4 linked regions of the Elephas maximus indicus genome follow. The protein of the gene in region 3 purifies or fractionates together with the protein of the main gene of each other region. This does not show direct contact. Links are inferred from orthologs where the notes say so. Each region holds a gene or a part of one and is shown on either strand. Other genes may lie near its edges. The genes, in order: MAP4K4, STRN3, ZRANB1 and CTTNBP2.

Region 1 (7,882 bases), on a different chromosome or scaffold from region 3:
AATCAACTCGACAGCAGTGGGTTTGGTTTTTCAGTAGTGACAATTAAGAAAACATTCATGAGATAATCAGGACAATGTGAACACTGGATATCTGACATTAAGGAATTAATTTTTTAGGTGGGATAATGGCTTTGTGAGTAGGTTAAAAAAAAAAAAAGAGAGAGAGAGAGACATACTGAAGAATTTATGGATGAAATGACAAGCTAGCTGGGATTTCCGTAAGGTAACGGCAGAAAGAGGAATACAGATGCAACTACGTTAGTTACGCGCTGACAACTGTTAAGTTGGGTGCTTTATTCCACTTGAGTATGTCTGAAAATTTCCATCGTAATAATAAAAAATGTAACTGCTTGTGACCAAAATCCTAAGCGATATTTTGTTCTGGATTGTATGCCACTATTGCACAGATTTCTTAATTCCTTACGCTTGCATATTCAGAAAAATTTCTCCTCCACTGTACAGACTTCGTAGTCAGAAAGCAGGCTGTGTCATTATGGATATCCCAACACTTCCCAATGTCATGGTAGGCATTTCTACTTCAAAAGCTTTTGCATGGTTGGGGGGGGGGGTGTGCAAAGGGGAAATAAGGAGGGGAGAAAACAATGTCCTTGTCCAAACTGTTACCAGACAGGGCTTCCACCTCTTACAACCAGTTAACACTTGGATTCATTTCTTTTTTCCTTATAATTTAAAAGCTGACTAACGCCTTCAGCTTACTCTGCTGCACTCAGCACAGACACTGACCGAGTAAGACACAAACAATCCCACCACTATATAACCAGGTCAAAAACAAGCTCTGGCCACCTCACTCGGAGGAGCGCACTCACCACTTAGATTTGGCCAGAAAAACTGGGTTAGAAAAAACTGGCTGCTGCTTACACAAACACTGGGGCTCCGGAGAATGTCTTTAAAAGCCAGTTACCAAGCCACTCAGCGAGTTGCAACACAATCTCATCCAAAATTTTCCAAACACTTCCAAATTCAGTTGAGCCCAGCAGCCTGAGTTAACAGGGCTCCCTTTCAAATTCAAAAATCTGGCCCCGGCCCCAACAGTTAACCAACAAAACACATGCTAATTTCACTTGCGATCACCTAGAAATACTGCCTCAAGTTCAGACCCCAGGCCTGTACACTGCCCAGGCCAGGCTAAGCTGGGGTAGGGGAGGGGCGTTCAAAGGACAGGCAAACTCTCTCAATAAAGCAGTAAGACACAATAGGATCCACACTTAACCTGGCCTAAGAAAACATCTATGGGCAGCCTCCAAGTATCCCAGCGCCTCTCCGCTTTGTGAATGAGACAATGACAACTCTCCATGGTGAAAACAGAAACCCTTGCTTCCTAAGGCATTTTCTAACCCTACTCTGCACCCACTCCAACAGCTAGAAAACTACTCCAATACAGATGACTTTTAGAACATCTTAAGAAACAAAACAGGGCAGGAAGAATCTATTGTTTTTTTTCTATTTCCAAGGCCTTGCCCATCCATTACCTGCAGCTCTTCATAACCTTTAGTATGCACACTGGATAAAATGAGAACACTGTTAGTCACACAGGTGTCAGCTACTCATCGCAGATTTATACAGTCTCCAGATTTGTTCACTGCATTTACCGGCGGCGGGGGGGGGGGGGGGGGGGGCGGCAAAAAAGAGAAAAACCTGGAATGGGTGTGAAACCAGGCATCCTCCTTACCCCTTGCTCTCCCTCTTCCCATTGCACACCTGTCAAACAGGTTATTCCTGGAATTCCGATTTTATAATCTTCACACTGTAATTCTTCCTGCTCCTGTTGCCCAAACGCACACCCCTCCCTTCCCCAAAATACGTATCCATCAGTAGCGTGGACCACAGACGAGAGTTACAAAGGCGTCCCAGTTAGCACCAAACTCCCCACCTTGAGCACCTGGCCAGCGCTCAAACGAGGAAACATGATGACCATTCTCGAGAAGGCCAAGGCACTGATTTAAGAATCATGAGCAAGGCCGGCCTTTTGTGAGTTTTAATTAACAAACACATTCAGAAGGCCGGGTTTGGGAAGAAAAAAAAAACTTAAGGTCGCTTTATGAAAAACGTTTTTCCACTTTCTCACAAAAGTGCTTGCCTAAGGGTGTAGTTTATTTCTTTCTGTCAAAGCCAGGAAACGAGGTCTTTTAAGGCTAATCGGGATGTGGCTGGGGCGGTTGTTGGGTGCCGGCGAGTCCATTTTCGACTCATAGCGACCTCCTGTGACAGAATACAATCTGAATATAAACTGCTTAAAAACAGAGACGCTGCCAAGCGAAAGCCCTTTCCGAACTTCGGCCAAGTGGCGTGGCCTCCAGTCAGAGCGTGTTTATCGCCCTTTTCCTCGTCTCCCAACGCGAAGTTTCAGCACGCCACGGGAAACAAAGAAGGCGCCCCACACCGACCTTATAGACTTGTCCATAGGTGCCATTTCCGACCACTTCCACCAGCTCAAAAATCCCAGCGGGATCCTGGAGAGGAAGGAGGGGAGGGGTTACAATTGAAAAGAAACAAAAAGGAATAAAGGACGCTGGCCCGCTGCGGAGAGGGCGGCTGCGCCCGCGCCGGTCCCCTCGCCCCGCGCCCCGGTCCCCGCGCCCAGGGCCGCGCCTCCGGCAGCGGGCGCGGGCGGCACCGGGCGCATTGGCGGCGCCCCGCGTCCCCGCACATGCCGACACAGGCAGACAAAGGAGCCGCCGCGCCCGCGGCTCTGCCCGCGGCGGCGCCCGAGCGCCCGGCCGGCCCGGGGCGCGGCCCCCGCCCCGCCGCCCCGCCGCCCCGCCGCCCCGCCGCGGCCACTCACCCGCAGCGAGGAGAGGTCGATGTCCACCAGACTTTTTGCAGGGGAGTCGTTCGCCATTTTCCCTTTTTTGCCTCCCAAATAGAACAGCTATCTGTGTCTGCGTGCCGTCGGCCGAGGCCGGGGCGCCACGGCGCCTGCTCGCACGGGGAGCGGGCGGCCGGGACGCCTCTTCGCCGGCCGGGGGCGGGCAGGCGGGCGGCGGCGCGGGCTCGGCCCCGCTCGCGGCTCTCGCCGGCCCCGGGCCGCGCGCCGAGGAGCGGACGGAGCGTGCGCGGGGCGGCGGCGGCGCTCACACCATGGCGCGCCAGCGGCCCGGGCGTCGCCGCGCTCAGGCCCCGCAGCCCGCGCCGCGCGCCGCGCGCATCCAGGCCGCCGCCGTACGGAACGTGGGCCGCGGCGGCGCCGAGAGTGGAGCAGGCAGCGCGAGGCCGAGACAAAGATAAGCCGGGGGGCGGGGGCGGGGGCGGGGCGGGGGCGGGGAGGGGGGGAGGGAGGGAGGGAGGAGGCGGCGGCGGCCGCGCGGGAGGAGGGGAAACGGGACACCGAAAATATATTCGGAGCGGAGCGCAAACAGCTCCCCCTCTCCTTCCCCGGCAGGAAAAACGGGCGGAAGCGCACTCGCACCCTGAGACCTGCTGGCGGAGGCGCGGGGCGCGCCGCCCGCCGCCCGGCGCGTGAATATTCAGCAGGGGTGGGGCCGGAACAATGGCCGGGCCGCCGGCCCAGACCCGGTAGCCGGCGCCCGGGTGGGGCCTCCGAGCCCGACCCCCTCGGTGCCCTCCAAAACGGCCAGAGCCGGGGGGTCGGGAGCGCAGGGATGAAAGGGGCCGTGCTGTCCCCAGGAAGGTGCTAAGAGTAAGGAAACGCCCCTACCTCGCACAAACAATAAATCAAAGAAACAAACTCGGACCCAGACGCCGAGAGGCAGACGAACCCGCCGTCTCTCAGGGAGAGGGTGTGTCCCGCCCTGCTGGGCCGGCCGCGCCCCGGATCGAAGGGGACGCGAGAGGGGATGTATCCAAGCGGAAGAGGGTCCTCTCTTTCTCCTCACCCGCTTTTCTTCCCTGCTGCCTCCAGCACCACTTAGGATACCTTTGAGACCCTCATTTCCGGTTTCCCTACATGGTTTTCTCTTCCTTTATTTTCTGTTCCAGGATAAGTGTGTGACAGGGTTGTAGCTGCGGGATTAGGCGAGCATCACTTGGCTGCCCGGCCCCAAGAGACTCAGTAGCCGAATCCACAACAGCTCTTGTAATGGCCTGGTGCCGCGCCCCTTACTTCGCCCCGTGGGTGAGCACTGTGTTTGGGGCCATAAATACTAAGCCATGTTTTGAGCCTACACATCACTACGATCAACAAATGGGCTTCCTCTTGCAACCTGGATACTAGTCAGTAGTTACGGAGTTTCATCAACCGAGAATATAAGATCTCTCTCTGGGTGGAGTAAGTGGCTTGGGATTGGCTGCTAACCTAAAGGTTGGGGGCTGGAACCCACCCAGTGCCTGCGTGGAAGAAAGGCCTGTTTGGGTGTATGTGTTCAAGGGCCATCTTCATTGCCTCCCTCCACTGTCCAGAATTTTTCAGTTGTTCCCTGTTAACTTACAGCAGGTGTTGTCAAACTTGAGAGGGCGTCAGCACCAGCCGGGGTGGGGGGTGTAAAAGCATGGATTGCAGGGCGGTACCTCAACTTGGATTCTGTAGGTCTGAGGTAAGCCATTGCTGTCTGGTCCATTCCGACTCGTAGCGACCCTCTAGGACAGAGTAGAACTGCCACATAGGTCTGAGGAGAGCCCCAGGAATTTACCTTTGTAACAGGTTCTCAGGAGCCCTGGTGACGCAGCGGCTAAGCCTTCAGTGGCTTGCCAAAAGGTCTGCAGTTGGAACCCACCCATTGCTCCTTGGAAACCCTATGGGGCAGTTCTGCTCTGTCCTGTAGGGTGGCTGTGAGTCCGAATTGACTAGACCACAGCGGTTTGTTGTTGTTGTTGTGTTGTGTTGCTGTTTTTGAACAGGTTCTGGAATGACGGTTGTTTTGCTGTCACAGTGATCACACTTTGCGAATAGCTGCCTCACAGGATGAATATCTGAGGCCCTTCATAACAGGGCTTCACAAACAGCACCATGATTATCTAGTATCTACCAGTTCTTAGGCGCTTGCTGTGCCCCTGATAATGTTTACTGATTTACATACAGTACCCAATTTAATAAGGAACCCTGGTGACGCAATGGTTAAGAATTCAACTGCTATCTAAAAGGTTGGCAGTTCAAACCCGCCCAGCAGCCCCTCAGGAGAAAGACCTGGTGATTTGCTCTGGTAAGAACTATAGCCTAAAAGACCTCACGGCACAGTTCTACTCCGTCACATGGGGTCTCTCTGCAAACCAACTCCATGGCACCTACCAAGTGGCTCTTCAAACTCACCTAGAAGTGACGCCAAAGAAAGGCTTGGTGATCTGCTTCCAGAAGGTCACAGACTTGAAAACCCTATGGAGTGCAGTTCTGCTCTGCAACACGTGGGGTCGCCATGAGTCAGAATGGACGGCAACAGGTTTGGTTTTTTTGGCTTTATTATTGATGACAGATAGCATGTATTGGATATGCTAAATCCTTTACATGTATTATCCCATTGTTCTTCACAGTAACTCCAAGTGGTAGGTACTGTTGGTTTTCCTGATTTGCCCATTAGGAAATCAAGGTCTGAAGACAAACTTGCTCTATGTGCAGAGTTGGACCCTAGACAATAACACGAGGCCCTCCCAGGCCATCCTCCCGCCACAGGTTTATAGCCACATTTCATTGAGGCTCACCATAGACCAACCCCTTCCTCCCTGCCTATCCAAATACCCTCCGTCACCTCAAGCCCAACTCAGAAACTGCAGCTTTGTATATCACCATTGTGCATTATTTCCCACTTTCAGTTCAGTACCTATTCTTGAAGCACCTACTAAGTGGAAGGAACTGGCTTAGCCATGGCCCGGTATATAAGGAAGATTAAGATAGCCTACCCGCAAAGATCTTACAGTCTGAAAATTGGCATAAGACAGTTTCATAAAGAGCTGTCATAAAAGAACATTGTAAATTCTGGCAACATGGAAAGGACACTAAACAGGTCTAATGAGAAGTATGCTGGATTTGGGGCAAAACCAAAATGGGTTTCAACCCTAGTTCTTGGACATGTTGCTTAATTTCTGACCCTCTGTTTCCTCTTCTATATACTGGATGAAGACTGGAGGTAAAAAGGCCAGTTAGGGGCCATTGCAGGCTCCCAGGCCCAGGTAATAAAGCCTGGTGACAGGAAATACAAGACTCTCTAAACTTTGGCATCTGACAGGATAGTCAGAAGACAGTGTAGACAGGAGGTAAAAGATTTTTTGTGTGTGGTTTCAAGCCTTGTTCACACTTGGGAGGAGGCTATTAGTACAGAGGAAAGAGAATTGCCACATGGCGGTGGCAAAGGAATGTCAGGTTTGGTTTTGGACCCGTTTTAAAGCTAGTTAATTTTTATCTGCCCAGCTCCCAACGCCACTCAGTTCTCTAAAAGTAGGAGCCATGTTTTCAGTCAACAGCCATGTTCAATACATGCTTCCAGGAAGTTGGCTTGATTCATGGCCTTACCCTCAAGGGTCTATTTGAAGACATGGTGCCTTGGTGGTGCAGTGGCTAAGAGATAGGCTGCTAACCAAAAGGTCGGCAGTTCGAATCCACCAGCCACTCATTGAAAATCCTATGGGGACAGTTCTATTCTGTCCTGTAGGGTCCCTATGAGTCGGAATTAACTCGACAGCAACGGGCTTTATTTTCAGATTGAATCTATTTATGTGAGTGTCATGGATTGAATGATGTCACCCCAAAAAAAGGTGTGTATCAACTTTGTTAGGCCATGATTCCCAGTATTGTGTGGTTGTTCTCCATTTTGTGACTGTAGGTTTATGTTGAGAGGGTTAGGGTGGGATTGTAACACTGCCCTTACTTAGGCCACATCCTTGATCCAATGTAAAGGGAGTTTCCCTGGGATGTGGCCTGTACCACCTTTTCTCTCTCAAGAAATGAAAGGAAAGGGAAGCAAGCAGAGAGTTGGGGACCTCATACCACCAAGGAAGCAGCACTAGGAGCAGAGCACGTCCTTTGGTCCTGGGGTCCCTGCTCCTGAGAAGCTTCTCGACCAGGGGAAGATCGAGGACAAGGACCTTCTTCCAGAGCCGGCAGAGAGAGAAAGCCTTCCCCTGGAGCTGACGCCTTGAATTTGGATTTGTAGCCTACTTTACTGTGAGGAAATAAACTTCTCTTTATTAAAGCCATCCACTTGTGGTATTTCTGTTATAGCAGCACTAGATGACTAAGGCGGTGAGACTCTAATGTGTAAATAATAAATTAAGCCTTGAGCTCCCAGGGTCAGAGTTGGGTAGTAAATATTTCCCAAAATAAAACCAGTTGCCATTGAATCGACTCCAACTTCTTCTTGCCTACTTTGGACACATCATCAGGAAAGACAGATCACTAGGAAAAGACTTCGTGCTTGGTAAAGTAGAGGGCCAGGGAAAGAGGGAAACCTTCCATCCGATGGGCAGACACAAAAGTCACAGCAGTGGCCTCAAACATACCAGCGATTGTAAGTATGGTGCAGGACCGGGCGATGTTTTGTTCTGTTCTATATGAGGTCACTGTCTTAGTCATCTAGTGCTTCAGTAACAGAAATACCACAAGTGGATAGCTTCAACAAAGAGAAATTTATTCCCTCACAGTCTAGTAGGCTAAAAGTCCAAATTCAGGATATCAGCTCCAGGGGAAGGCTTTCTCTGTCGGCTCTGGAGGAAGGTCCTTGTCATCAATCTTCTCCTGGACTAGGAGCTTCTCCTTGCGGGAACCCTGGATCCAAAGGACACGCTCTGCTCCCGGCACAGCTTTCTTGGTAGTATGAGGTCCCCACTCTCTGCTTGCTTCCCTTTCCTTTTATCTCTTGTAAGATAAAAGATGGTGCAGGCCACACTTCAGGGAAACTCCCTTTAGGGATGTGACCTTAGTAAGGGTGTTACAATCCAACCCTAATCTTCTTTAACGTAAAATTACAAGCACGAAATG
Region 2 (7,560 bases), on a different chromosome or scaffold from region 3:
ATGGGTTTGTTTACAATTAAAATCCACTGATGCTTCACTTAAACCCTCTCATAAACTTTTCATCCAACATATGTATTTTTAAATATGGATCTCACAAACAATCTTAAGGCATCTAAAGCAAATTCAATATACTAGAAACACACCTGAAACCCTGTTAAGTAATCCAGCAAAACATTTTAGGGAAATATATAGCACAAGAACAGATAAACACAATCATGAACATTTTATTCCAAATGAATCTGTGAAATAATAAAAACCCTTGAAAAAAATTTACAGTCTGTAAATACTGTAAAACTTCTTCAAAACAAATAAACAAAACTTAAGATGGCTATATCAGAACTAAAGTACTAATAGTAGGTTAACTGAAAGAAATCCAGGAAGAATTCAAGCAACAGAAATCTCCCTTAAAGGATTTTTGTTTTTGCTGTTAAGGAAAGAAGTGGAAGGGCTACAGCAGATAGTAAAGGATTCACTATTTTATTAATTTAGACATACAAGTAAGATATTTTCCCAGCTACTTACATTAACAAAGATTATGAGTGACTAATACAATTGCGAACTTGGAAATTGTTAAAATCCAAACGTGCATACAACAACGCAAAAGTTACAAACACTGCATCAGGGACCGGTCAAGTGTTATTCAGTGACCAGATGCCTCAATGCGTTTGTAAGTACAACTTATAAATTTTTAAAAATGGTTTATAAACCTCACTCTATCCACAGAGAAAACTAAATTTGTTTAAAGCATGGTGTAGTAGAAATTTTCATACTAAGAGCGCTCTATAAATCACAAGTATTTTAAAGGAGACTATAAAGAAAACCATTGCCGTCAAGTCAATTCCAACTCATAGCGACCCTATAGGACAGAAAAGAACTACCCCCATAGAGTTTCCAAGGAGCACTGGGTGGATTCGAACTGCCAACATTTTGGTTAGCAGCCAAAGCACTTAACCACTACACCACCAGGGTTTACTCAAGTTAAAAGAAACAATAAATAATTCTGACTTAAGCTCTTTGAAAGTTAAAAGCCCGATAGTTTATCAAAACACAATTCTAAAACACTGAACTAACAGGTGTTAGTCTGTAATGAATTTGTTCAAGATATGATAAAAAAGTGTCAAAACATATTACTATTCTTACTTTTTTAAAAAAAATTAACTTTATCCACTTTGAGGAGTCAAATAAAAAGTTTACAAGTTCAAAATCAAACTGAAGAGATTCATATCTGAGACACTCTTTAAAAGTTATTCCAATCTTCCATCTTTCAACACCATGTTTTCCTAACTCTTCATCGTGGGCATATATGGCATATATGTCAGTAAACAACACTGCTTACATCCTAAATATATACCAGTTTGAAGAACAGGTGCAGCACTATTTAGGTGGAAACTTTTTTCTTCTAAGCCTACTTTTGCCTGAAAAGGAATTTAAAAACAAACACAAATATCCCAAAAAGTTGAACAATCCTTTCAAAAAGATGGAGTAATTTTTAAATCCAAGACACGAGCCCTGAAGCTACCAACCCTTTCCAAAAGTTAGGTTAACACACCCTAGTGCATCCAAAGGCTCACCTTAAGAGGAATGAGTCTGGCTCAATTATGAGGGTAATGGGTTCTGAGGACATTTAACTGTGCTTCCCTGAGGTGAGTTAGTAATATAAGTACTTTTTACTTCAAGCTAATACTAAATCTTTTCTCGGCCTTTCATAAATACAGCACAGATAGTTTGGTGTGGCTTTTTTTTATGGGTAAAGGGGAGGTGTCTGGTTAAGGGCACTCTAAAAAGAAAAATTCAGTTTTGAGAATAGTAAGCGTTGATGAGTCACTAAGTAAGGAAGAACTACAAAAGATCCAACTCAGTCATGCAACGTCCCAGGTAATAAGGCACTTACAGTTGACAGGTATGAAATTAAAACTTCACAGGTAAGCCTCAAGCCATTGTGTACGGTAGCAGCCCAGAAAAAAAGCGTGGCTGTCAAGGGTCAAGTGCGTACCAAGTCGGGGGAGGGGGTCAGACAAGCCAAATCGGAAGGGGGTGTCCTGAAAAAGGTGGTAAAATGCCCTTCTCAGTCCCCTTCCTCGGGTTCTCCACCTCAAGAGAGACAAGTGAGAGCAACACAGTGCCCAGCAGCCCCACGCCGAACTCTTAAGAGTATCTGGGCTCCAAGCCCCGGAGGCCCGGGAAGGCCGCCTCCGGAGGGGCCCCCGCAGACGCCATACTAAAAGCCAAAATGGCTGCCCCGAGGAAGCCCGCACCGCGCAGCCACTGAGGGCTGGGGAGCAAGCTTCTGCGGGAAAGAGGGAGGGGGACTCAGGAGGAGCTGTCGCCAGAACCGTCGCCCCCGAGCCGCACAGGTAGGTTCCTCTCGGCTTCCCGAGGCCGCAGGCTCCGGCTGAGAGGAGTCCCGGCCCCACCCCCGGGCCGAGATCCCCGCCGCCGCAGCTGCCCCGCACACTGTCCCCAACGAGGTACCTGCAGTTCGGCCCGCTCCACCTCCCAGTGCGCCCGCTCCATCTCGAACCGAGCCCACTCGTGCTGGATGTAGTGCAGTATCCCCGGAATAGTGTACTGCTGCGGCCGGGACAGCTCAGGGCCTGCCGCGGGGCCCGCTCCCTCGGCGGTCGGAGGACCCCCGCCGCCCGCCGCTCCATTCCCCCCCGGCGAAAGGTTCATGTTCCCCCCAGGTCCCTGCTGCTGCCGGGGAAGTGCCGCCATCCCCGGGCCGCCACCACCGCCTCCAGCGAGCTCGTCCATTGTGTGTGGGGCCCCGGCCGGGGCGCAGGGCGAAACGCCGACAGCTGGGGGAAGGGCCGGGGAGGGTAGCCCCGCGCTGGTGACGGGGCGGAGGCCGGCCAGGAGAGGGGCGGGGAGGGGGTCGTTGCAGTGTGCTTGCCGTGGGTCAGAGCAAGGAGCTGCCGGCCGCCGCCATTACAGTCCCACCTCCATCTGCCAGTCTCAGTCACTCACATTAGGGGAGGGGGGGCCGTGGCGGGAGGGGGAAGAGAGGGCAGGGCTGGGAAGAGGGTAGACGTAGGGCCGTCGCTCCCGCGTTGCATGCCGGGTAGAGTACGCCGCTGCCGCCTCACTCCAAATAGCCAAATAGAGTCCGGCCTCACCCTACGCAGGCGCTCTGGGAGCTCATTGAGCTTCGCAGTTAGGGGGCGGGGAAGGGGCTCGGGACCCGCCTCTAGGCCCGCCCCCAGCCCCTCTCCGGATGTCCGGGTCCCGACGCCGAGGCGAGGACTTCGGTGTTTGAGAGCCGGTCGGCCCGGGTGCTTGAGGTTATCAGTTTCCCTGGAGCGGGCAGCCTTCCAGTGTCGTTCCCCACCCAAGGGTCTGGGCCGCGTGGTCTGCTTCGGATCTCTGCTTTAACCGGGCCGGTCGCGGTGGCCGGCCGACCGCAGCCCGTCCCGGATTCCTGACGTTTCTTTTGCATTCCTTGCGTGTTTCTGGCAGTCCCAGAGGATCGGGCCTTTTTCTCTACTTGTCACTCGCTGTTTCTATGGTTTCTTAGCAGCGGTCAGTTCCCCGAGCTTTGGGGACGCATTCTTTTCGCAAAGAGCCTAGGTCGTTACGGACGTAGTGACTGGACTCCCCGTCTTCGCCTCGAGCCCGAGCTTTTATTGTCCCACTTTTGTGCGCCCGGTCGCTCGTCGCAGTTTGTTCCACTTTGCCTTCCCTGTTCTTTCGTAGGGAGTTGTGTTTTGGGGGCTTGGGAGGGGGGTGGAAAGATTATTTTTGTTTTTATTTTTCTTAAGGGGAGGCACTGAAATCCTTTAGATCTTGATGGTGGGTGGAAGGAAGAAGATAACTTTGAAGGAGACTGGTTAGTCTTTTAACAATTTGACGTTTTTGAAGTAAATAAGTTCCTTCTTATAAATATTGCTATTAATGACAGAATATTTCAATCCGAATAGAAAATAAAGGCATCATGAATACAACTTAAAATCCTAGATGAAAGGGGAAAATGTTTTCCCAAGGCCACTAAATATTTGAGAGAATATACACATAAAAGGCAAGATTTGTTTTTTACCACCGTAGTGTGTATTTTTATGCACTTAGTTTCCCAAGGAACATGAACTAGTGAGTTTTTAAAAACATGTAGCTAATAACCATTTGGTTGCAAAATAGAAGAAAGTTAACATTTAACAACTGTAATAAGGAAAAGGCGTTCCATAACTACAGCTATGCGGGAAATCTTCATCTGAAATTGGTTGCATTTTTTAGACTTTTTCCTCTCTACAAGGCAATAAAATTTTCACTATGGAGTATATACACTTCACTCAGGATTTAATTTCCAAGAGATAAAGTAGTACAGTTTATTTTAGCATGACTGCTTTACTGTTCTTACAGTTTAATGGAGAGTTGATTGGACTTGTTCACCAGGCTGCCATGTTATTTTTATATATGAAATGAGGTCTTAGATCACAGCACTGTTAAAAACTATTTCCCTGTATTATTAAAGTACTATTTCTCCATTTTATAGCGACCAGCATAAACTTGCTTATTCAATCCTATTATTTGGGGGGGGGGGGGTGCCTCATAGCACATAAAAAGTTAAGAAATACTATGCTGCTTCAAGACCTATACACACTAAGAAACTTTTGTGAGAGGGTGTGGTTGACTTCCAAGATGTTAGCGTCAAAGAAAAGGAGCATACACACTTATATTTCCTATAAAAAAAGAAAAGCACCTCAAACTCAGCAGTGGTAGAATTTTTACCTTCTATGCTGAGTTCGATGCTTGGCCAATACACCTCAAGTGCAGCCACCACCCATCTTGTCAGTGGAGGCATTTGTGTTGCTATGGTACTGAACAGGTTTCAGTGGAGCTTCCAGACTAAGGCAGACTAGGAAAAAAGGCCTGGTGATCTACTTCCAGAAAATCAGCCAATGAAAACTGTATATCACGAGGGTGCATAGATTTTCCATGAGTTGGGGGCCAACTCAATAGCTAACAACAACCTCAAGCTCAAAGACTGAACCTATAATTCCTCTTTTCTTCTCCCCACCCTCAAAAACAAAACCAAAGTCTCTGCTCCTCTTCTATTTCTTAGCTTCATATGTGGCTCTGCATCCAAGTCTGAAGCCTAAAAGCCGTTCCTTTGCCTTTCTTTCATTCAGCCCCCACATCTAATCCCTTTCTCAGCAATACCTTTCGTTCTATTCCATTGTCTCCATTCACACCTTAATTTAAATCTTCCAACTTCCACAGTTGCTCCACCAACCGCTACTGCTGCTGAGTGATCTTCCTAGAAGGTAAATATAATCCTGTCATTCCCCTACTTAAAATATTTTAGTGACCACCAAAGCTTTTAGGATAAATTTTAGTTTAGCGTATAGAGGTTCTTCAGATTCTAAATCCTCCCTAGATTCCAATCTACCATCATTTCATCAACCTACTCTATCTCACTCTTCTCTCCAGCCAACTTTTACAGTTTTTGGTTCCTCAAAGGTATAATGCTGCTTCATTCCACAGTGATTTAACACATGATGTGCCTTATTGCCTTTCTTTCCCTTCTTCCTTTAAAACTCAGCTCAAGCGGTACTTCCTCCAAGACACCTTGCAGATCCGTGAATTACAGTCTAGTTGATGGCATTGATGTTTTGGGATCCTAATAGCATCCCATGGTTACCTCTTATCTTAATATTTATTACACTTTATGTAAATTATCAGAGTCCCTGGGTGGTGTAAATGGTTACCATTAAGGTGCTCAGCTGCTAACTGAAGGGTTGGTGGTTTGAGTCCACTCAGAGGCACCTCAGAAGAAAGACCTGGTGATCACCTGAAAAATCACCTGAAAACCCTATGGAGCTCAGTTCTCCACTCAAGGCAACTGTTTTTTTATTTAAATCATCAATGTACTTGTCAGTGGCACTCATGCCAAACTCTTTGAAAGCACGACCTAGCACGTAGTGGGTGCTCAATAAATCTTTGCTTCACTATGAAAAAGCTATTTGATTGGCTACATTTTTCAGATACTCTCTTAGTTCCTGGTGATCCACTGTGAACCAAAAAGACAAACTTTAACCATGGTTTTATAAATGTCAACAATACAATCCCTGGCCATGTGGTTCCCAGACGGTAGGGTCCTCAGCCATTGATCGGCAAGATTGCAGAATTCTCAAGGGCAGTGCCCATGCGTCCCTTGTTCACAGCTCCCAGTGCCTGGTACAGTGTACATCCTCAAGAAATGTTTGATGGATAAACTAAATTTAGACTAGACTAATATGAACATTTTCCCTTCACCTTGTTCATTTTTATTAGCTTTTGCTACAGTTACATCAGCTATATCTTATTGTTCAGTGACTGGAACTTTCCTGAGTATTTAAAAGCAAAGGACACCAAGGTTTTCTCCTCTGGAGAAAATTTTATAGAGATAGCTGGAACACTCTGCTGTGAGCTCCTACAATCTTGTTCTTTTGGCAGTGAGCACTCCCGGGTCACATTGTCACCTACAACTCACCTAACTGGAACTCCCTCCCTAAACTGTGTCTGAGTCATTTCCTCTTTTCAGCCTCACCATTGAAACTTGTTTGTTCTGTCCTTTCATCAGTCCTTATTCATCCCTCTTCTATTCCCATTAGACTCTCCCAGTTTCAGCCTACAGCTAATGATCTTCAAGAATGCCTGCCATAGCTTTCATCAGTTTAGACTTTAAAGGGTTTTTTTTCCTTAGACACCTGTCTGCTTATTCTATTTTTGACTAAAAAACAGATTTGTCATATTTCATATACATATATTAGCAAAGGTATGTTAAGGAATTCCAGGCTTTTAAATAAGTAGTTAACACTCAGACGCTTTCTTACCAATTATTCCAGTACCTGATGTAAAGAGTTTTGAGCCTGCTTCTGGAAACTGTATAGCTCCCTGTAAGTACTCACCTGTATACCCAGTTTTTGTACCTTGCTGGCATCCTTCTACCAAAGACTTTAAACTGGTTTATAAACATTAATCTATTCATCTTTTTGCATAATCTGCAAGGGTTATGATAAGTATTCTTATCTCCTTGGGGTGAAGGAAAAGCTGAGATAAGAGTTCTCAGTCACTTCAGCAAACCCTTAATAGAATAGGAAACTGTTCCCATTCTTAGATCAGTGAGTATGTATGTGTATTTGGAAATAAAGACACTCTCCCTTCACTATTCTGCCTCCTACTGTCCCATCAATGGGCTCATTATTACTGTCTCATATTCCCAAATCATTTGCACATTTGGAATCATTTTTAGGTAGTTTCAGGCTGTTGTAGTGTTTGTGAACATAGTCAAAGAGCAAACAAATAGTAGAACCCAGAGGAAGATCTTTGAGAAGAGTTGGCAAGAGAGTCAAGTGTATAATGCAGATGGAACAGAAAAGGAGGAGGCAGCTTGGACTTGCACCATGGTTTGTTAATGTGCCAGATACGATCAAATATCCAGTTCTCATTAAAGTGATTGCCTATGGCTAAGAAAATTGTAGAAATACATGCAGGGAACTTGAGCCATTCAAATAATATATTATGTAGAAAACAAAAGGACCTTCACAGATTATAGAAACACAGACACCAAAGCATTTAGGAAAT
Region 3 (6,900 bases):
CTTATGATCAATGACACATGCTGCCAACATCCGAAGTTAAGGATCCAAACTGAAGCTACAGGTGATTTCTCCTTCATGTGATGCTAAACGTTACCTATATACAAGTAGGAAATGGTCCCCCTTGCTGTCACTGGTGCCGATCTCAAATGAACCCAAGTAACTGCCCCAGACTCAAATCCGAAGTAAACCACAGAATTACGGTACTTATTTTTATTTAAATAAGATGAGATCATTATCAAAATGCTGACCATCCTCTACAGGCTGGGAACCATGTTGGCAATAGGCATAAACATGCTAATCAAGTATTTTGTTTTTTCAAAGACAGCCATAATTTCAAATATTTTTGTCTCAGAAATTGTCACAGTCCCAGAAACTCCAATACTTGGAGGAGTACAAAGTCTATATCCTAGAATACCACTATAACCATCACCGGTCACTGTCAGAGCACGAGTCCAAATTGTCAGAGCTGAATATATGCTCCCCATACACACAAGGCACAGGGCTCAAACCCATTTCTCAAGTCTTAAAAGTCCAATTGGGAAGCAGAATAAAAACAATAAAAGCAACTGAAATCCAGGCTAGCAGTGCTAGGACAAGAAGGAAGAAAACCATCCTGCACAACAGAGGAGGGAACAGTAGATCCCTTGGGGTTGAAGTAGTTAAAAAGGCTCCTCAAGAGACAGGCCCTACCTGGGCTCAGAGTACAGAGAGTATCCATGAATACAAGAGGAAGACGATTCCAAACAGACAGAACAGCATAAAGAAAAGCTGAGGGGAGAGACTTCACAGGAAAAACAAACCAAGGATCCACCAAGGGGAGAAATGGCATTAAGACTGAAGCACTGATCAGGGCTAGATTCTGGAGGATCTTGACCATGCCGGGGAAACTGAGCTTTATTTTCCATGTAATAAGGAGTTTTCTGGAAGTCTTTATACCGTGATGTGAGGAGGGGACAATATTAAAATGTGCAAGACACTATTTTATGCGAAGAATAAGTGGAGCACAAATATTCCTAATAAAACATCACATCAATGGAAAAAAGTGTTCTAGGCCAGGTACAAAAGGATATTATTGGGGTGGGGGTGGGTGTGAGCAGCAATGCTTAAATAGTAAAAGTGACCCAAGAAGTTAAATAAAAAATTATGGTGGTCTACAACTCTTGTTTATTTACATTTATTATAAAAGTAGTATAAGTATAAAGCACCTGGAGAAGCTCTCACTCTATCAATTACGCACATGAAGCAACTTACCTCAAACGTTGTACCACTGGACCCTGAGTTCCAAAGCTCTGTTAACCCTCAGACTTTAAACGGGCTGTGCCAGAACCCCATCAGTGTACAGGTCTGGATCAAGGCCGTGAGCTTAACACATATTATATCATGAATGAGTTCTTCATACTAACCCGAGTTCATTTCAAGAGTAAATAAACGGGTGTCCCAATACTCTAAGGCTGTAATAAAAGGTGCTCAAACATGAGCAACAGAAATAAAAATCTTTCATGACATTCAAATGACAGCCTTCCCAAAAGATGAAAATGTGTCATTACCGTCTTACTAGTTTTAGCCCCCTCCTAATAGCCCAATAAAAACAACGTGATGCACTTTTATAGTAAGAAGGAAACTGCACACCTTGTCATAAGACCCAAAAATCAACAGGGGAGCAGAGTTCTAAATGTGTTCAGAACTACCTAATTTAATTAAAAATAACAACCAAGAAGAGAGATCCAGTTTTATTTTTCACAAACACATCTTAGATGACGTGCTCTCAGCCCTTGGCGCAAGCCAAGATCAAAATTCCTTATGGTTTTCCCTGGCTTATGGGTTACTCACTGAGTCATCTATGTTTGATCAAAACAGAGGTACCTCGAGGTTGCACGAGTGATTAGGACACCGTCTAAAAAAGGGAGACCTACAAGTACCAGAAGCACTCCTTACGGAGTATTTCCGGAAGTTAAAGGTGTCTCTTCAGCTGTGGCTCTAAAACAACATTTTTGTACATCAGATTTATAATGACAATACCGTGGATCATACGGTGAACAAACAGACCAAAATACTGGGGAGAGCAGCCTTTAACCTGAAAGTCTGCAGACTTATGGACAAAGGGAGTGAGACTGAAACTCAAAATTCTCAGCAAGAGTTAAGAAAACATCAGTGAACCTCAAAGATAGTGGGCCAGTTCCAACTTCCAGGTTTAACCTAAACTGCCAGTCCCTTGTACTTAGTGCAAGTATTCATTACAGTCCTTTTGTCTATGAAATGACCCACGCAAGCCCCACAGAAAACAACAGCTACTTGCACCGAACGAGAGTTACCGAGAGCGAGGCGGGCAGATCATCTGTCCACAGTTCCAGCTCTTTCTCCTCTCCCCCAACCTTTGCCCCCCGACCTTGATTTCTTAGACAGAAATGGCAACAACTGGGGCCACCGCAGGAGACAGAGAGGAAGCGGCCAAGAGACTGAAATCCAAGTTTGGAGGCCAGCACCAACTTGTGGCGATGAACCCAAGTATTTATGGCCTATTGCAGAGCGGGAGCGAAACCCCATCACAGACTCGGATCAGGCAGGAAGAGAAGTTGGGGGAAAATCCGGCGGAAGACGGTGGCAGGGCCGGCAACGCGTCCAGCTGCGGCTGATCGATCGTTGGTAAACAAGCGGGCCCGCCCTCCCGGAGCCCCCGACCTCTCCTCGCCCCGGGAAAGCCCAAAAGATGGAAGCCCGGCCGGCGGCAGACCCGGGCCCGACGGGGTTTGCGCGGCAGGCCCCCGCTCCCCGCCGTCGCCTGCAACGCCGCCGCCCCGGGGGGCGCCGGGCGGGCGGGCGGGCGGGCGGCCGAGAGACCCCGCGGCCTGGGCCCACCTGGGAGCGGGAGGCCGGTCAGGCCGCGGGGGCCTGCGGCGGGGCGCCCCTCCTGGGCCCGGTTACCTGGTGGCGGCGGCGGCTCCTCCTCCAGCTCCTGCTCCTCCTCCCTGTCCGACGCTCGGCGCCCGGTGGCGGCGGCGACTCCCCGAGCCGCCCGCGGCGACGAGCGGAGCCCGGCCCCTCTCCGCCTCCCTCCGTGCCGCCGCCCGCCCCGCTGCTGCCGCCTCCGCCCTCTCCCCTCAGTCAGGACATGGTCTCCGCGGGCGGCGCGCGGCTCCGGGCTGCCGGAGGCGGGGGGAGAGGGGCGGAGAGGAGGCGCGCAGGCGGGGGGGCGCCGGGGGGAGGGGGGAGAGAGGGGGGGGCGGCCACGGGCGCTGCGGGCTCTTAATGGCGGCGACAGAGGGGACCCGGAGCCAAATAAACCCCGCGGCGAGCGGCAGACGTCAGGGCCGACCCCGCCGCTTGCCGCCCTGCCATTGGCCCGAGGCCGCCGGCGACGCAGCCAATGGGAGGCCGCCTCTTTCCGGACGCAGAAGGAGGGCCGCAGAGGCGTGACATCACGCCGGCGCCGGGCCCGGATTGTGAGGCTGCGGCGCGCGCCCCCACATCGCGGCCCCTGGGCGGCAACCGCGGAGATGAGGGTAGCGCGCGCTGGCCGAGGTGGAGGACGCCCCGCGGAGGCAAACGGAGACCGACGGCGCCTCACAGCACCTTGTGGGGCGGGCGTCTCGAGGCGCACTTGTCTTTCTTCGAACTCTTCCCCTTCTCTTCTGCAAACAAATTCACCAAACTTTTACCGCCCAAGTCTCACGTCTCCTGAGGAACTTTCTGTTCTGCTTAACCTCTTCATATGCAGTTTCTCGATAAGACACCACAGAAGACAAACGTTTTGGTTGTTTGTGATAGTGTAATTTTTATATATCTAATTTGTACATATTTTGTGTATATGTATTTATCTCCATATACACCTATATTACATATATACATAAATATATGAGGAAAAGCTATGGAGACCCTGGGTTCTCGCTCTCCTCCGCCATATGCTGGTCCTAATGTTGGGTAAATACAACTTTCTCATGGCTGCCTTTTCTGTAAATTGGAGATATTCCTTAAGGCCGAGGATAAATGACAGCCATGGAAAAAATACTGCCCTGAGAGTCCCCAAAGCCCAGATTCTAAATAGAATATATTATATGGCGATATATTTTGTATATTTCTTTTTTACCGTAAAAATAGTCTAAATGAGTCAGCTATCTGTTAAAATTCCATGAGTCAATTTTTTTCTAGCCAGAGAGCTTAGTTTTTCCCATTGAGGTGTCACCTTTCATTTCTCATACTTCAAATTTTATTTCTATGAAGAATTCGGAAGCCCATAAAACACAGGAACTCTTTAAGAGTTGTAAATCTCTTTCAAGTTATCTGATGAAGAAAAGCTATAGCACTTTCAAAGGGCATTTAGCAGTCACATTTGGACACCTCAGCTTCACTAGGAGACAGTGTTATTCAGCATTTACTCAGATTTTTAAAAATTAGATGGGGATTTATCGAGTAAAATTATCCCTGGTGTTCTGAGTTTCTCTTTGCATAGATATGTTAAAGGATGTATGTACAGCTTCACTATGGCAATTAAGAACCCTTTATAGCTTCCTCTCACCAACATTTCATAACCATTGGTATATTTTATCTTCACAGCCATTCCTGTGACAGATTTTCCATAATCCTCTTCATCGTGGTCAAATCTGAAGTACATAACAGCAAAATACTTTGCTTAATGGCTCTTCAATACATTGAGTTTGAACTACAACAATCTCGTCTGTTGTAAAACTTAACCCACATTCTTGAATATGTAACTAACAATTAGATATAAAATCACTAAGTCATTATGCAAGAAGAATGGTTCAACCAATATTTCATCACAATGCTTCAACCAATATTTCACTTGAAAATATCTCCATTGAGGGCCTCTGAGTACCTCCAGTTCCCGCTTCTTGAATCAAGGATAAAGAGCATCTACCTCCAAGTTAATAAGTAGACACGTCACCAAATTAGGTGTTTGTTCTTGTTTAGTTTGAATTGTAGTTTACCTAGCATAATAAGTACCTACCATGTGCCAAGGAACAGGAAGCCCACAAAGATGAGTAAGACACGTTCTGTGTTTGAGGAAACAGACATAGGAAAGAAGACAAAAACAACCATAGTTATCATTATATAAGGCAGAATGTGCAAAGCACCATGTAAATTCAAATGAAAATTATCATGTAACTGAGAGGAAGAGCAAATACAAAAAATGGCTCTAATAAAGAAGGTGGTATTTTATGAATTGTTCAAGCTGAAAAGACTCTTAATATCAGTCCAGTGGTTCTCAGCCTTGGCTACACATCAGAATACCTTGAGGAGTTTCTTAAAAATACGAATGTTGGGGCCCAACACCAGACCTATTGAAACCGTCTCTAAGAGGAGGGACTGGACATGGGTATGTTTTACGTACCATGTGGCTACAATGTACAGCCAGAATTGAGAACTACTTATGTTGTCCTACTCGCCCACCACCCTCCATGTATTGCAGATGTGCAAAGTAGTGCCTAAATTAAGAGAGTTGTCAAAAGCCAGACCAACTACGTATGGAATTAGAACCCAGAGTTCTTGATTCCCCAATCAAATGTTCTTCCCATAACACCATATCTGTTAAAAAGATGTGAACAAATACAGCATTTGTGGATTGAATTGTGTCCCCCAAAAATGTAGGTCAACTTGGCTAGGCCATGATTCCCAGTGTTGTGTGATGGTCCACCATTTTGTGATCTGATGTGGTTATCCCATGTGTTGTAAATCCTAACCTCTACGATATTAATGAGGCAGGATTAGAGGCAGTTATGTTAACGAGGCAAGACTTAATCTACAAGATTAGGTTGTATCTTGAGTCAACCTCTTTTGAGATATAAAAGAATCAAGCAGAGAGGAGAGGGACCACATTACCACCAACCAAGAAGCGCTGAGAGTAGAGTGCGTCTCGTCTCATTTGGACCCAGGGTCCCTGTGCTGAGAAGCTCCTACACCAGGGGAAGATCGATGACAAGGACCTATCCCCAGAACTGACAGAGAGAGAAAGCCTTCCCTGGGAGTTAGTGCCCTGAATTCTGACTTCTAGCCGCCTAAACTGAGGAAATAAACTTCTGTTTGTTAAAGCCATCCACTTGTGCTATTTCTGTTAGAGCAGCGCTTCATATCTAACACAACAGCAGATAGCATTGTCATAGTTAAGGAACTGATCCTGCTGTTTCTCATAGAGATTGAACCACCTTTCTCAATGAGTTATAAAAAAAATTCATTTGGAAAAACATATCCAGTTTTTAAGTCTTTTTCTGAGAACCTCTACCGAAGTGTAGGGACAGTATAATTTTGTTGACATTTAGTTCTGTCTTTTATTTCAGCTGTTTCCCAAACTACCTTTAGAAGATACCATTATACTTTACATTTTCTGACTGACTGCGAATACTTCAATGCAAAATTGTGGATCTGTACTTAATTCCATTAATAGAAATGGAAACACCAATATTAGAGCTATATCTTAATCTGGAATGTCTGTGGGACAAAAGAGGGTAAAAACAGAATAGGGAAATAGAGAAACCAATTAGGAGACAAGGACCTAAGCCAAAGTAGCTGTGGGGATGGGAAGGAAGGGACAGAGGTGAAAGAGTGTGGATGTTCAAGGCTTGCCAGTACCTGAATTGGGGCCAGAAGAAAGAATCAAAAGTCAGAGACCTCTGAATGTGAACGGTGCCATTAACAGTGGGAAACATGAAGAGAAAGAGGAACTAGATAGGAGATGCTGTCTACTGGATCAGGTATGTGGAGATCCTGGCCCATCACTCAGAGGGAAATGTGCAGCAGGCAGGGGAAATGCTGGCCTGAAATGTGATGGCTAAAGCTGGAGATAAACATCAGGGAGTTAGCTATGCACAAGTTACCACTTAAGCCAGGAGTAGGAAAGGAAAAGAAGAACTATCCAAGGAGAAAAAAAGAGTAGTACAAAAGACAGGA
Region 4 (7,212 bases), on a different chromosome or scaffold from region 3:
TTTTTTTACTGCATTTACATTTAATACTGTCACCTGGAAAACAAAAATTTCAAAGTGCCAGCTGTTATTTTAACATCGCTGTTGCATATTTTTAACAAAAATCACTGTCCAAGTTTTTCCTTGTCACAATCACCGTGACAAAATTTATTCCTACTTTTTGCATATTAACTGCCCCAGAAAACCCAGAATGGCAAGAATGTTGGTTGGCTTCCCAAACACAGCTCTAAAAAGACCTCCATTTTCCTTTCACTCCAAAATTCCCTGATGACAATAAAAAGCAGGAAGATTTCTGTTTTCCATACTGCCTTATCCATTAGGGCTTATTTTCAGAGTAGAAATAGCAATATGGCCTATAAAAGTCATCACATTTGGCTAAGGCACTGAAAATAACCCAGGTCTCCCAGCATGGTTCATAGCAAAGACTATTTATATGAGCCTACTGAATAATGTAGCTTTACACTTGGGATGCCTTCAGGATTTAAACAGCTAAGAACGAGGACCACAAACTAAATTTAAAACATGTCACTAAAAATCATATTAAACTGAAAACTATGAAACTATAAATTAAACTTGTTTCTAAGCAACAATCTAAATAGTCAAAACTTAGTGAAAACACTCACTTTCAAAAATAGCCTACTGCTTTGGAGGTTCCATTGGCTCGTTATTGCCAAATGTATATATAAAAATGAATATACAAGCAGATTTGAAATGAATCAAATCGCTAAAATACCAAAAAAAAGAATTGTTCACTAAAAATACCCAAAAATTGTTTTAAGCCATCAGTTGCCAAAACCCCAAGATGCATAAAAATGCCTTTGATTTTTAATCATTAGGTAAGGAGCAGTTATAATAACAAATACCATGCCTCTACCCAGCTTTTCTTTAATGTAAAAATCAGCCTATAGGTCAAAGTGGCTGATAGGACAGGATCCTACCTTACGAAGTCAAAGCTTTTTGGAAAAAATAAAATGGTCAGTTTACAGCCTAAGAAGTCACTGTCAAAATTTTACTAAACAGCCAAAAGTTTAAAAAAGCTACTATATTAAGAATCCTTATTGCATCTTGGGACCCTAAAGGATTCTGTGGAAATAACAAGAGGTCGGCTTTCCTATTTTCCATGGCTGTTCCCATTATCACAGGTGAATGATCAAATCCCCGAAGTTCAGTAGTGAGAATCAGACTTCTGAAAATTTTACACAGCAGAGACGGAACCCTGACCTTGTTAACACGAAATCTGCCCCACGACCAAGACTCTCTACAGTCTAACCAAATAAAACTACATCATCAGCTACAGACCATAAACCAGATGTTTGTGTTTGGTTTAATTGTAAGGAGGTGATTAAAACACTGAGGGCAGTAGAAAAAAGGCCCATTCTAAACAAATTAAACATACAAATGTAACCTTCCTGGGGAACAAGAAACACACACAAGACCTCTTTCTTTCTCCTCCCAGTCAGTGCCTCTCGTCATCATCTCCTGGGGAGGAAGACACCCAATCATTTAAACTTCCCAGAGAGGCTTGCCTTAACAGCTAGCTTCCTTATTGTACCTCGCGGGGGGCGGGGGGATTCACAGTATCACAAGTGGGCAGGTTTCACTTGAAATCTTAAGTTCTCATTTTCCACGCAAGAAATGAAAAAACAAAATAAATTTTCCTAAAAGCTGCAAATCAAAACTTGCCAGTTTCACAAGTGCAAATCAACAGCCCTCCTCCTCCGTTTTTCTCCCCCCTCCACCCCCTCTTTCTCTATTCCTTCCCAAGCTCAGCTCCTCTCACCCCCAAGTACCTTCCTCCCCATCTCTCCCTCTCCAAAAGCCCTACCTCCAAACCCAGGGAGGAGGAGGAAGTTAAAGCAGCCCTGGCTGTTTACGCCTGGCCCTGCCCTCTGCTGCTCGCGCACCGACTCCGATCGGGTAGTGGCAAGGCCGGAGGGGGCGTCCACCCTCGGCTCACTCTATCCCACCGCGGTCTCCAGCGGGAGTGGGCCAAGGGTGGGAGGCGCTCCCGGGACCGCCTTTCTTTGCAGATCCTCGCAGCTCCAGCGAAGCCGCTTCTCAAACCCTGAGCACATTTTCCACCCTGGACGGGGAACCAACCCTCCCCCAGGTAGGGGCTGGAACCCACCAGCGAGTTTCTGTGCACAGGAATATTTAGGGATTGAAAGTGGGGACCAGGGATGGATGGTAGCGCATTTGGCGTCTAGAACCCAGCGAAGGAGAACAATGTCTATGATACTCGGTGATGACCCTCCACCTCGCCCGGGCATCGCCTCGGAAGAACGCGATGACCCCCCGCCTCCCCAGTGAGGGGGCTGCTAAGACCAAAGTCGCCGGCGCTTCGCGGCGACAGCGCCCACAGCTGGGCACCGGTCCCTCCCCAGGGGCCCCCCAAAGGCGCACAGACACACAATAGGCATCCCCACACCTGCTCGGCGGCGACCCGCACCCCCCCTCGCTGTTTCCTAGGTCTGCTGAGACGTGCCAGGCACCCCGAGACGCACGCTCACAGCCACGCGTGCAGCTAGAGGCGAACAATGGGGGGTCAAGTTCGCCAGCAAACACCCCCAGGCCAAACCCGACCACCGCGGCACCGGCGTCGGGGTCGCGAGGAGGGCGGGGCGCACGCATGGAGCGCCAAGAACCCGGAGGCCGGTGCTATTTCCCTGGAGACTCGGAACGGGCAGGAGGCGTCCCCAGCTTGGGCGGCCTCCGGCCGTGGGGCAGCTTGAGGAGGGGGCGCCCCCAGGGGGCCCGGACTGCGGAGCGCCCAGGGGACTTGGAGCTGCGCCTGGGCCCGCGTCTACACTCGCAGCGCGCCCGCACCGGGAACTCGGTTACCGCTGCCTCCGCCGTAGCCTCCGCCGTAGCCTCCGCCGCGTCCTCCGAGGCGCGGGAGAAGTCGGGTTCGCAGCTCGCGCCGTCCGTCGCCATCTTCCTGCGCTAGCGGATCCGAATGCGAGCTCGAAGCGGCGGCGCCCGGCTCAGCCCTCTCCGCGCGGGCGGCACTTAACCCGCTGCTGGCCGGCGGCGCGGCGTTCGGGCCCGGCCGCGCTCCGCCTCCCTCCCGCCGCCCCCGCCGCCTTAACCCGCTGCGCGCCGGGGCCCGCGCGCCCGGGCGCCCGCCCCCGGGGGGCCGCGCCGCCCGCCGCCTCGCCCAGCCCCTGGGCCATCCGGTGCGTCGAGGTCCGAGAAGAGGGCACAAGCCCGGGCCCGGGGCTGGTCCTTCCCGCAGATGGGGGAATCCGAAAGACACCGGGCGAGATGAAGGAGAGAAAGAGCTCAAGATGTGATACGACCGGCCAAGCCCCACGAAGCCGACCCTGGAGAGACCGGATGAAATGTCGGGCTTCCTAAATCTTAATTTTCTGTAAGATCAAGGAAACCCTTCGCTCCATGCCCATCTATCCCACCGCTAGGAAGGACATAAGATACTCTTTTCTTTTTTCTTAAATTCCAGGTTTTTTGGTTTTTCAACACTGCTGCCAGGGTGCTTTTACCCCTTCCTTCTACGAAAACCATTAACTAAATTCACAAATCAAAATGAATAATGTGTCCGCTTTTATTACATTGTGCCCCAGTCCCTCAGTTCTCATCTTTCTGTAAAATCTCCTTTTCAGGGAGGGTGGCGCGGGGCCCATTGCTGTTCTTTGACTCCATGACTGAAGTCTTTTCTAAAGGACTAACCAAGAAGTGTTAAATGTCATCTCTTTTAAAAGGAAGCTCTCTACTTTCAGAGAGAATACGCAAGTAAGAATACGCAAGTACACGTACTAAAAAAATCCTTTTAAAAATTGACTTCATGGGAATTATAGGTCTCAGGTTTTTCATGAGATGAGTGACTTAGGCTCAAACTCTATTTTCCCTTCCTTTCATCTGATTCAGTTCCTACCCTTTTCTGCCAGTTCCCAGGATGTGAAAATCTATCACCTTCTCAAGACCATATGGTACCAGCCCTTCTCAAATCACCAGATCCCTAAAACTGTCTTGAAAGCACAAAATCAAGTCGCAGCATTCAAACTGTGTCTCAAGGACGTAAAATGAAGCGAAAACCAAATCCTAAACTTGAAATTCAGGAAGACGAATGACATGGAATGTTCAATTCAAGGGCTACAGATAAAAGCTCATTTTTTTAAATGGCAGACTCCTAATGAAAGGTTTTGGCACTTTAATTGCTCCATTTTCAAAACTGGATCCAAATAAGACACAAATCAGGACAGAGAAAATCTTTCCTTTGAAGACCCTGAATGGGGTTGATTTAAATCATTAGATAAGCAACAATTATAATGACAAATACCATTCTTCTACCTAGCTTCCCTTTAATTTAAAAATCAGTCTATGGGTTAACTGTGGAAAGTTCTCTCCCAGAAGACAGCTACATCAAGAGAGAACTTTCACCTGGAATCCTGGGGTTAAGGGTCAGAGGCCTGGAAGTCACCTCTGAGTTATCCTGTAAGCAGAGGTGCTGGTTGATTTATTTTCTTTGACTTTACTCTCACAGCTACCCCCTTTCTTAGTTCTTTAGTGTCCATTCCCGTTCATTACACTGTTTTCTTTTATCAACTATTCTCTCTGAAATTACTCAATATTAGAATAATCAAGCTACTTACAAGATGAAAGCAAAGCATTTGACAATAAAAGTTGGACCCTGATCTCACAACATGGGTGAATCCGGAGGGCATTTATGCTGAGTGAAATAAGTCAATTACAAAAGGACAAATATTGTCTGAGACCATTACTCTAAAAAATCATAAGGTTTACACACAAAAAGAAACAATCTTTGATGGTTATGGGGGAGGGGAGGAGTGGGGGATGGAAAAACACCAAATAGACAATAGATAAGTAGTTAACTTTGGAGAAGGGTAAGACAGTACACAACACAGCTTGTATGAGGCAAGGTCATGGAAGCTCCATGGGCACATCCAAACTTCCTGAGGGACTGAATTGCTGGGCTGAGGGCTGTGGGGACCATGGTCTTGGGGAACATCTAGCTCAATTGGCATAACATAGTTTACAAAGGAAATGTTCTACGTTCTACTTTGGTGAGTAGCATCTGGAGTCTTAAAAGCATGCTCCTGTTGGAGCAAGGGAGAATGAAGAAAACCAAAGACACAAGGGAAAAGATTAGTCCGAAGAACTAATGGACGACAACTACCATAGCCTCCACCAGACTGAGTTTAGCACAAGCAGATGTTGCCCAGCTACCACCACCAACTGCTCTGACAGTGATCACAATAGTCTCTGATAGAACTGGAGAAAAACATAGAACTAAATTCTAACTCACACACACACAAAAAAGAACAGACTTACTGGTTTGACAGAGACTGGAGAAGCCCCTAAAGTATGGCCCCCTGAAACCCTTATAGCTCAGTTATGAAGTCACTCATGAGGCTCACCCTTCAGCCAAAGTTTAGATAGACAGGCACATAAAATGAGACTAAATGGGCACACCAACCCGGGAGCGAGGATGAGAAGGCAGGAGGAGACAGGAGACTTGATAATGGGGAACCCAAAGTTGAGAAGGGGAGAGTGTTGACATGTCACGGGGTTGGCAACCAATGTCACAAAACAATATGTGTATTAATTGTTTAATGAGAATCTGCTCTGTAAACCTTCATCTAAAGTACAATTCAAAAATTCTAAAAATACTCAAAAAAGGACAAAAGAATTGCTTTAAATAGACATCAAAATACATTATAAAGCTACAATAATTAAAACTAATATTTGCTTCAGATGAACTAAATAAATGGTCAAGAAATGAAACCAAGAATATTTGTAAATTGAAGATACGATAAATCTGGTGTTGAAAATCATTGCATATGATAAAAAGGAGAGGCAGCTGGCTTTACCCTTCACCTTTCCCATTCTTCCTGCCTAAAATGTGGATGTGATGCCTAAATGCGCAGTAACCAACTTGCAACCAGAGGCAACAGACATGGAGATTAAAAAAAGGCAATGTTAAAGATGGTGGAGCCAAACAGATATAGCCTGTGGCATCATGGAACAGCTAAAGGGACTCCAGAAGTCGCTTAGTTCTAGAATTCTTGTTATGTAAGAAAAATAAACCTATAAGTTAAAAAAAAAAAAAAGCTAGATGTTGATAGTAAAATTTAAAGTTGGAACAAAAGTATTCCTTGTTCTTTTCAAAATGCATTTTCACACATCACAAGGCAATAAATTTCCTTAATATTGGCATTAAATTAAGAAATTAACTGGCTCACCACTGGGGAATAAAATAACAAATTTCACTTAGGTTTAAGCACTAGGAATATGACATGATAATTTCTCTGTGAAGCAAATCCCGTTTATTTTATACATGCAGATCAATTTAAAAAAAAAAAAAATGTTGTGAATAAATAGCTTCTGCAGTGACCCAGTAGTTAAGAGCTTAGCTGCTAACCAAAAGATCTGCAGTTTGAATCCACCAGCTGCTCCTTGGAAACGCTTTGGGGCAGTTCTACTCTGTCCTATAGGGTCGCTATGAGTCTAACAACAGGTTTGGTTTTTTGTTTATTAGTCAAAATAAGGAGCTCTGGTGGTGCAATGGTTAAGTGCTTGGTGGCTAACAAAAAGGTCTTTGGTTCCAACCCACTAGCCAGCCGTTCTGCGCTCTGCAGGTGGAAAGCCCTGGCCATCTTCTACCTTAAAGATTACAGCCTAGAAAACTCTGTGGGGCAAATCCACTCGATGGCACCTAACAATGTAAGTCTAAATACAATCAAAATACAATCAAGTCATAATCAAGTAGATCCCTGAGTGAATTCTTTCCCCTCTCCCCCACCCCACCGCCTTTTGTGTGTGTGTGTGTGAAATGAAAAATAAACAGGTGAAAAAAAATCACAGAATAGCATATTTTCCTACTGCCAAAATCCAGGACCTGGGAAGGAGAATAAACAGTATTTGTTTCTACCTTAAAGCTGCCACTGTTGCCGGGTGTTGACTGAGCAGCTGGCCTCATTGCTCAGAAGCAGCGCATAAGGAGTTAACTCCCTCACAGAATAGCCCAACCTTGAAGCTGCTTCTCCCCTGGGACACTCCAAGTTTAAATTCCCTCCTGAGAATTAATCTCTGTTGAGATTGCAAATTAACTCTTTGTGAAAGACATTCTTTGCACAAAGACAGGCTCTATTAGAGTCGAACCAAACAGATCTGCAAGGGTACTGATTTGATGGCTCCAGGAATTAAATCTTTTGAAGCTTCGTTAAACAGCTAAAT

Evidence for each region.
Region 1: the proteins of ZRANB1 (region 3) and MAP4K4 purify together in Homo sapiens (affinity purification with mass spectrometry; 3 studies listed by BioGRID and IntAct, with this or other methods). This does not show direct contact. The link is inferred for Elephas maximus indicus from reciprocal best matches to the Homo sapiens genes ZRANB1 and MAP4K4.
Region 2: the proteins of ZRANB1 (region 3) and STRN3 purify together in Homo sapiens (affinity purification with mass spectrometry; 4 studies listed by BioGRID and IntAct, with this or other methods). This does not show direct contact. The link is inferred for Elephas maximus indicus from reciprocal best matches to the Homo sapiens genes ZRANB1 and STRN3.
Region 4: the proteins of ZRANB1 (region 3) and CTTNBP2 purify together in Homo sapiens (affinity purification with mass spectrometry; 3 studies listed by BioGRID and IntAct, with this or other methods). This does not show direct contact. The link is inferred for Elephas maximus indicus from reciprocal best matches to the Homo sapiens genes ZRANB1 and CTTNBP2.

Annotation. Positions count from the first base shown.
Region 1 is NC_064835.1:84,134,893-84,142,774, forward strand, and holds the start of MAP4K4 (mitogen-activated protein kinase kinase kinase kinase 4), read right to left. Parts: upstream 3,020-7,882; 5' UTR 2,861-3,019; coding exon 2,804-2,860; intron 2,472-2,803; coding exon 2,406-2,471; intron 1-2,405.
Region 2 is NC_064828.1:43,486,226-43,493,785, forward strand, and holds the start of STRN3 (striatin-3), read right to left. Parts: upstream 3,009-7,560; 5' UTR 2,755-3,008; coding exon 2,473-2,754; intron 2,355-2,472; exon of another isoform or gene 2,047-2,354; intron 1-2,046. UniProt on the Homo sapiens protein: Calmodulin-binding scaffolding protein which is the center of the striatin-interacting phosphatase and kinase (STRIPAK) complexes.
Region 3 is NC_064834.1:74,981,796-74,988,695, reverse strand, and holds the start of ZRANB1 (ubiquitin thioesterase ZRANB1), read right to left. Parts: upstream 3,007-6,900; 5' UTR 2,923-3,006; intron 1-2,922. UniProt on the Homo sapiens protein: Ubiquitin thioesterase, which specifically hydrolyzes 'Lys-29'-linked and 'Lys-33'-linked diubiquitin. Also cleaves 'Lys-63'-linked chains, but with 40-fold less efficiency compared to 'Lys-29'-linked ones.
Region 4 is NC_064826.1:31,757,635-31,764,846, reverse strand, and holds the start of CTTNBP2 (cortactin-binding protein 2), read right to left. Parts: upstream 3,020-7,212; 5' UTR 2,932-3,019; coding exon 2,824-2,931; intron 1-2,823. UniProt on the Homo sapiens protein: Regulates the dendritic spine distribution of CTTN/cortactin in hippocampal neurons, and thus controls dendritic spinogenesis and dendritic spine maintenance.